Mus musculus: one gene and its partner. The protein of the gene in region 1 interacts with the protein of each later gene in a pairwise test. Links are inferred from orthologs where the notes say so. Each region holds a gene or a part of one and is shown in the gene's direction. Other genes may lie near its edges. The genes, in order: Marchf2 and Furin.

Region 1 (3,809 bases):
TTATAAAACTCTTCATGGTACCACACGACTATAGTCCCAGCACTGAGGAGGTGGTGCAGTGGGAATCAGAAGTTCAAGACCAGTATTGTCTATATTGTTGAGTTCAAGTTCAACTTAGGCTACATGAAACCCTGTCTTGAAAAAAAAAAAAGCTTGGGAATAGAGTGGTTTTGATTTTGAGAATTCCGGGAGGGGCGGTTGGAATGTTTAATGAATAACAGAGGTGTATATATACCTTATACTCTCCTCCTAAGGTAGGTTTATAAAAATATATTACTTTAGTTAATTAGTTTCTAGTATTGCTGGAACCCACGGCCTCGCTCACACTAGGCAAGAACTCTTTCACTGAGTGTCTTGGAGTCAACATACATGGTCAGATCTTTCTTTTTCTCTCTTTCCCTCCTTCTGGAAGGAAATGGCTCAGCATCGAGATCACTTACTGGTTTTTTGAGGACTGAAGTCCAATTCCCAGCACCCACATCAGTCTATTCACAACCACCTGTAAGCCTAGCTCCTGAAGGGACTGACTCCTTCATCTGGCCTTCACGGCCACCTTACTTACCTCATACACACACACACACACGCACGCGCACGCGCACGCGCACGCGCACGCGCACACGCACACGCACACACATGTAAAAAATTCAGTGTCAGTCTTAGTTTCTTTCCTATTGCTGTGATCAGACACCGTGACCAAGGCGAGTTTATTGGGAGCTTATGGTTTTAGAGGGTGAGTCTGTGGTCATCACGACAGGGAGCATAGCAGCAGACAGGCAGGCAGGCATAGCTGTATTTGAAACCTTATATTTTACCTGAAAATAGGATATAGAGAACGACTAACTGGAAATGATGTGTGGTGACATATCTCCTCCAACTAGGCCACACCACCTAATTCTTCCCTAGCAGTGTCATCAGCTGGGGACGAAGTTTTCAACTATAGGGGCATACGTAGGGCATCTTTACTCAAGCCACCACTTTCTACCTCTGCCTGCTGAGGAAGGTTCTCACATATTCTAGGAGGACCTCAGACCTAAAGAGGCTGGCCTTGAACTCATTGAACTCATGATGCTTATTCCTACATCTCTCAGGTATTGGGATTATAGGATTACATCACCACCTCCTCTGTTTCTTTCTTTTCTAGGGTGATATTAGTAATTGAACTTAGGGCCTCATTCATGCCAGGCAAGTGCTGAACCATTAAATTATACCCTAGATATAATATTTTAAATACTTTTGAGCTGGGCATTGGACCATACTTTCAGCACTTGGAAGCACAAGGGCCAGAAGTTCAAGGCCCACTTGGATTGCATGAGACTCTGTGTGAGAAAACAGGCACCCACGACAGTGGTAATGATGATGATGATAAATGATACACACACACACACATACACACATACACACACACACACACACACACACACACACACACACACACACACATACACACACACACACACACACACAGAGTTTCACAGTGTGGAATTTTCTACTGTACCACAGTGGTACACCTTTAATCCCAGCACTGGGGGGCAGAGGCAGGAGGATCTCTGTGAGTTCCAAGGCCAGCCTCGTCTATATACCAAGTTCCAGGACAGTCAGGACCACATAGAGAGATACTCAGAAACAAAGAGACAAAGAATTTATTTTTATTTCCTATTTAGGTATATGTATGTATGTTCACTCGGGTGCAGGTGCTGAGAGGCAGGTAGAAGACATGGGATCTCCTGGAGCTGGAGTTACAGGTGGTTGGTTATGAGCCCTTAACGTAGATGATGGGAACTGAACTCCAGTCCTTTGGAAGTAGCAACTGCAATTAACTTCTGGCCCAGCTCTCCAGTCCCCCTTTCCCCATTATGCTCTGTTTTAGAGTTTCAGATTGTTAGAACATTTTGGATTATAGAGTTTTAGGGTAGGAATAGTCAGTCTGTTCTTGCTATGGGAATTTGCATGAATGAATTAACTCTTCTTTTATTTTGATGCCCCCATTTGCACATCAGAAAAATGGGGACAAGCACTCAGCAGACTCCTTTCATTAATAGAAATATGGAGATCTAGGCTTACAGTCTGCCCCCCATTCCCTATCCATTCTGCAGCACCCATCCACATAACCCCTCTCTGTCATCTGCATCTCTACAGTGGCTAAAGGACCCAGGGCCGCGCACTGAGAAGCGAACACTGTGCTGTGACATGGTGTGCTTTGTGTTCATCACACCACTGGCTGCCATCTCAGGCTGGCTTTGCCTGCGAGGGGCCCAGGACCACCTCCGTCTGCATAGCCGGCTGGAAGCTGTAGGTCTCATTGCCCTCACCATCGCCCTCTTTACCATCTATGTGCTCTGGACACTGGTGAGTGGGTAAAGCCCATGTGGGTGGGCTCAGCTGGAATCCCTAGGCTGTGTATGAGTGTAGCTTCTGCTGGAAGTGGTCCCCTCAGCTTCCTGTTGTTCCAGGTTGACATTGTAACACAGGTCCAGGGATGCATCCAGCCAGTAGTGAGCCTTTTGTTTCAAGGGCACAAGAACATTTAATCACTGTGGGTCAGTTGGGAAGAAGGAAGACAGATCAGTAAAAGGCTGAAGCTAAGAAGACATTGGGAGTGAAGTGGAACAGATATATATTAAGAAACTGAGGGTAGGGCTGGAGAGAGAGCTCAGTGGTTAAGAGCACTGACTGCTCTTTCAGAGGTCGTGAGTTCAAATCCCAGCAACCACATGGTGACTCACAACTATCTGTAATGAGATCCATATGTCCTTCTCTGGTGTGTCTGAAGACAGCTACCATGTACTCATATAAATTAAAATAAATAAATTGAAAAAAAAGAAAGAAAGAAAGAAACTGAGGGTAGGTGAAACATCTTAGCAGTAAAGTAGCTGGCCCTGAGTTTGACTCCCTGGACCTATGTGGTGGAAGGTGAGAGCTGATTCCAGGTTGCCATCTGTCCTAACATAAGGGTGCCATGGGGTATGCTGCCATGGAAATAACTAAATAAATGTAGCAAAAGTATAGATTAAAAATCTTCCAAAAAATTATGAGCCCTCACCTCTCTCTGCTGAACTGTTGGCTTCTGATAGACTCCAGAGAAGGGGAGACTTTGTCTTTCTTCAGTTGTGTATCCACAGCTGGGCCCACTAGGTTCTGGTGTGTACCAGAATCCTTGGCCACACAGAGTAAAACAAAAGCCATGACTATGGGGAAAGGCTTTGTAGGGAGGGAGGGTTTGATGAGGTTAGGGGTGGTGTTGAAAATGAGCGGGAGTGAGAGCAATTAGAATGTATATATGCATAAATGAAATTGTGAAAGAGACATTAAATTAATATAAAAAGTTAAGAAAGACACACAGAAAGAAAGAAATCTGGCCAGAATGTAGCTCGGGTGGTGGAATCCTTACCCAGTTTTGCTTAGTGGTGTCTTAAGTACTGGCAGTGTTTGCACAACAAGGATGTGATGTAGTCTTCAAGATACATTCCCATCACAAAGGGACACATTTTAAAATACATACATTGCATGAAAACATATGTACTGCTTGTTTTATCCTTTGCTAATATCCTTTCAAAAGAAAAGAGGTCGCTCTGGAGAACACGAGTTGATTGTGTGGCTGTACTGTATTTATTTAGTCAATTCCTTTATGACATACTCTGAGACTTTTGGTAATGTGTGTGATTTTCACCTGTTACAAATAGTGTTTTGGGCCACTACCAATGAAGTTCTTCCTTGCTTCTTTTTCCCTCTTTCCCTCCCCCTCTCTCTTCCTTCCTTCTCTTCTCTTCCTGTGGTGCTGAGGACTGAATCTAGAGACTTGAGCATTCTAA
Region 2 (4,450 bases), on another chromosome or scaffold:
ACTCCCTTGCTAGATAGGGCCAACCCTGTCCCTATTTCCCCTAAATGGGTGATGTTGCTCATAGCCTAAGGAAAATCTCTGACTCACTTCCTGCCTCAGTCTCACCACAAGAGTATTGTTCTCCCAAATGTGCATGTGGTGGTGCTGGTGGGGGCTACCCCACAGTGGTCCCCACAGGTCTTAGCTCCTTCTAAGGGAAAGCCCCCAATCTGGGAGGAACCAGACTTTTAGAGACCCCATGTCTGCAGTGTTTTAACGGATGCTCAAATAACAGATTCAGTTAACTTCATACACATCTCCATTTTCAGAGGGATAAATCGGGGCTCTGAGAATTTAAGGTTCGAAATAATGCAAAATAGTACCGCAAGGATTTGAGCCCAACTTTCCTGGACGACTTTCCACACAAATGATACGTGTGTATGTGTGTATGTGTACTACTTTGAGGGTTTTGAGGCAAAGTCTCATGTGGCCAGGTTATCTCACAGAGAGCAAGAAGGGATGTGCAGAGGCCGCTGGCGACCTTGGAACAACCCAGCCTGGGAAGATCTTGGCCCGGTTCCCCTCTTCTTTCTCAGCTCGAGCAGAATGTCAACCTTCCGCCAAGTAGCACAGCCGTTTTCTAGGGCAGGAACCCAGGGAGGGAAGGGCTCTGGCTGGTATACTGTAAGTAGCTTGGAGTGAAACGCTGCCAAGTCTGAGGCCTGCTAAGTTGTGTAGCTTAAGGAAAATTATTTAAACTTTGTGTGCCTCAGTTTCCTTATCTGTAAAGTGGGATTAATAATGTCATCCTGAGCGGATTATGTGGATTAAGGAATGTACATAAGGAGAAGATAGGGTGAACTGATTGGCCCAGTGCCTAGCTCTCCGTTGTTGCAGGGGGAAAAAAAAGTATTGGGAAAAAAAAAAAACCATAAAAGGAGGTGGGCTATTTCTGTTTATCCACCTGTCTCTACAAAAGCAAATAAAACTGTGACTCCTCTAACTGGAGGCACGAGGGCTGCCCTGCCGCTGTGAGATCCGACCTGAGAGTGGAGTTGCCCCAGGTCCGCCATCCCAGGGCGCTTCCCTTGACTATCCCCAAACTCAAAACTCGGGACCCAGGAACCTCGGGCAAGGCAGGGCCAGCTTGGACTCTCCCCAAACCCCCCGACCCTCGGCCCTTCCCTCGCCATCTCGCCCGCGGGCTCCCAGTCCGGGTCTCCGAAACCATCTGCCCGGGAGTTTGCGGGGCCAAGAGCCTAACGCGGTGCGGACCGAGGGGCCTGGGGTGGCGCGCAGGGACCACGCTCCCTACCCGCCCCGCTGGCAGCCGCAGACAGGGCGCCCCGAGAACGCAGGGCCCGCCGCGTGGAGCTCTCTGAACACCGGCCGGGCCCGGCCGGGCCCGGCCTGACCCGACCCGGGCGGCGAACGGGCCGGGCCGGCTGCGGCCGCCGAGCGCGGAGGTGGCGCCGCGAGGGGGAGGGGCGCGGCGCGGAGGAGGAGGAGCCCGGGCCGCCGCCGCCGCCGCCGCCGCTGTGACAGCGGCCCGAGTAAACAAGCCGCGCCGCCGCGGCCGGGCCGCTGCCCCCCGCCCGCGCCCGAGCCCAGGCCGAGCCTTGCCCTGGTCGCCGGCCGGGCCGAGGCCGCGCCGCCGCGCCTCCCCGCCTGCGCGCCGTGACGCCGCTGCCGGGCGCGGGGACCGCCGGAGCCAGGCCCCCGCCGCCGGGCTCCGTGCTCGGCCGAGGGGTACCCGAGCGGCCGCGGCGCTCGTCCGGAAAAGTTTCCCCGCCCGGGCTCCCCAGGGTAAGCGGCGAGGGCGCGCGGCCCGGGGCCGGGGAGGCGGCGCGCTGGGGAACCGGGCCCGGAGCGGGCGGGGGAGCGCGGAGCCGGGCGGCGCAGCCCCGGGCCTCGCCGGCCGCCGGGCTCTGGTCGCGGATTCTCGGCCGCCGCGGCGGGAGGACGGGAGCCGCGCAGCCCACCTGAGCGCCGGGCTTGGGCCCGCGCCGGTACTTTTCCGCTGGGGCCGGGGCGAGCCCTATGACCTCAGGAAGCGCCGGCGGGGCCCCTGCTGGGGCGGGCTAGGCAGAGCATTCCTCGGACTCTGGGTGCTCCCGCCTGCCCGCGGTCCTCCGTGGCCCCGGCGGCCGGGGCCTGCGCCTGGTGGGGCGCGCTCCCGGGAGGGCACGGGGTCCTCGGCCGCCTGGCACACCTGTACGGCCGGAGCGGTCGGGGGCGGATTTCGCGTGCGCGCACAGGCCGGCTTGGGGGAGGCTCGCTCCGGGCTGCCTCCTGCCGAGGCCTGGCCGAGGCCCCTGCTGCCCCCATCCATCGGGTGGCTAGCCGAGGGGCGGCCTGCTTGCCATACAGGTCTGACAGCAGACACTAGTCTGCTCGGTGCCGCCGTTCCCACCGCCCCAGGGCTTTGCGCCTAGGGGAAGTGGACTTTCATCTCTCTGAAGCACTGGGATTCTCTCTGACTTGGGAAGTGCCAAGACGACGCAGGTGATGTGGCCCAGTGAGGGCATGTGGCTGCTGGCCAGGTGTGGACATAGAAAAGGAGGGTGGGCGAGCAGATTAGGTGTGTGTTTCCTGTTTTGGGCTTCTATCTAAAATTTGTATTTTTTTAAAAAGAGGATCCTATGGCTTAAAAAAAGTTTGAAAGCCTCTGTCCTAATAGTTTTTAACCACCAAGGAAACTGAGGCCCAGAGAGTGGAAATGACTTGTGTAAGTAGTTGAGCAGGGACTAGGAGTTAAAATTTCCTGGGAGGTGCCTGTAACAGGACCTGCCTTGGGGTCTCTGCTGGAAAGAGAGACCTGATTGGGTTTCCCAGCAGTCTTTGGTGGCTTGCTCTGTGGCTGCCTCAGCTGGGTCTCCAGGTCCTAGAAACAGCAGCCACACCTGGGGGTAAGTGCCCGTCTTATGCCTGGAATGGTTGTGGTTATCTCTGTCTGTAGGTTCTAGGGAGAGACAGAAAGGCTTTGCCTAAGAAAAGAGCTAGGACAGTACTATAGCCTATTCTCTAGTCAGGCCCAGCACTGATGGCTGGGCAAAACTGACCCAGAGAGGCTAGAAATATATCCAGTCTCCTGGTTTTGAGACAACTGGGACTCAGAGGGTGAGTCAGAGTCTGGAATGGGGGTGGGGAGAAGCCTGTTCATTCATTGTTCACAGTTCTTTTGTGTGTGTGTGTGTGTGTGTGTGTGTGTGTGGTGTGTGTATCCTCCTATGTGTCTTGATGACGAGGCAGGGCTCTCTGATGTCTGGAATTCATATCCCACCCTTACCACAGTTGGGGAGACTTGGTGTGGAGGGAAGCAGACCATCTTTCTCGAGGTGTGGTGGGGGTTCTGTCTCAGTGGCCCCATCTATAGTTTGCTGAAACCTGGGCTAGACCCAGACCGACCCAGCCATAATTTGGAAGTTGTAGGCAGGTCTCAAAACTTGGAGCAGGGAGTCTGCACATTTCTAAACTAAAGAGGTTTTAGATGTGGCAAGAGTCCTGTTTCTACGTGGAGGCACGGAGCTCTAACTCTGAGGCATGTCTTCGGAGCCCTTTGGACTCTGCCCTTCAGGCATGGAGTCTGCCTCGTGGATGTCTCCTGCCATCAGCTGTCAGGTTATTTTGGTGTAAACTGAAAATACTCCAGGATTGTGTGTGGAGTCCCCTCAGCCTATAGGGTGAGATGGCAGCAGTTAGGGAGGCTGGGTAGCTAGTGGCAGTTCCTGGAGAATCTTGGCGTTCCCAGTGGCTAGCAGATCTGCCCAGCTCCACAGGGCAGTGTGCTGAGGTATCTACATTTTACCATTTGGCCAAGTGGCTACCTCTAGGGCTGGGCCATGGGAATGGTAGGGGCATCGGGATCCTGGCACTTAGACAGGACATCCCCAGCAGCCTACTGGAACCTCTCCTAGCTGCCACCTACCCCAGGAGCTTGGCTTGTGGCTAGTCAGGGGCCCTTTATGGGGACAGTTATGTGGCCCCAGGCAGAGAGGTCTTGCTGTCTGTTTGCTGAAGGAGGAAAAACACCACTCAGGGCTACTGATTCGGCCTCACCTTGGTGTTCCAGGCTCAGCGCCAGTGTTTGCCCTGGCAGCCTGGCTCAGATTACGCAAGGTGGTGGGCCTGGAACACGCCAGGGGGCAGCAGGGCTGGACTAGCAGGAGCAAAGTTGCCCAGGAAACAGCTTGGGCCCTGCCTCTAAAGATGGCTGTCATCTCAGCCCTAGAGGGTGGCAAAACCTCAGGAATCCCTCATGCTCAGAGTGTGGCTCCTCAGCCTCCATCCCAACTCGAGTCACCCACTCTTTCCTCTTGGGGACTGAGAGTCTTTTAAATAACTCCCTACAGCTCACCTTTTTGCTGAACCAGGATGCCCTAATTGAGTTGGGTAGACTCTGTTCATTTTTTAAAGAGCCAACATTTATTCTTTTATAAAATATGCCTGGATATTTTGAGAGCGTACAGTA

The links.
Region 2: the proteins of Marchf2 (region 1) and Furin interact in a protein complementation assay, tested with the Homo sapiens proteins (2 studies listed by BioGRID). The link is inferred for Mus musculus from reciprocal best matches to the Homo sapiens genes MARCHF2 and FURIN.

Annotation. Positions count from the first base shown.
Region 1 is NC_000083.6:33,694,574-33,698,382, reverse strand, and holds part of Marchf2 (E3 ubiquitin-protein ligase MARCHF2), read left to right. Parts: intron 1-2,136; coding exon 2,137-2,346; intron 2,347-3,809. UniProt on the Homo sapiens protein: E3 ubiquitin-protein ligase that may mediate ubiquitination of TFRC and CD86, and promote their subsequent endocytosis and sorting to lysosomes via multivesicular bodies.
Region 2 is NC_000073.6:80,399,865-80,404,314, reverse strand, and holds the start of Furin (furin preproprotein), read left to right. Parts: upstream 1-1,502; 5' UTR 1,503-1,785; intron 1,786-1,914; exon of another isoform or gene 1,915-2,522; intron 2,523-2,820; exon of another isoform or gene 2,821-2,888; intron 2,889-4,450. UniProt on the Homo sapiens protein: Ubiquitous endoprotease within constitutive secretory pathways capable of cleavage at the RX(K/R)R consensus motif. Mediates processing of TGFB1, an essential step in TGF-beta-1 activation.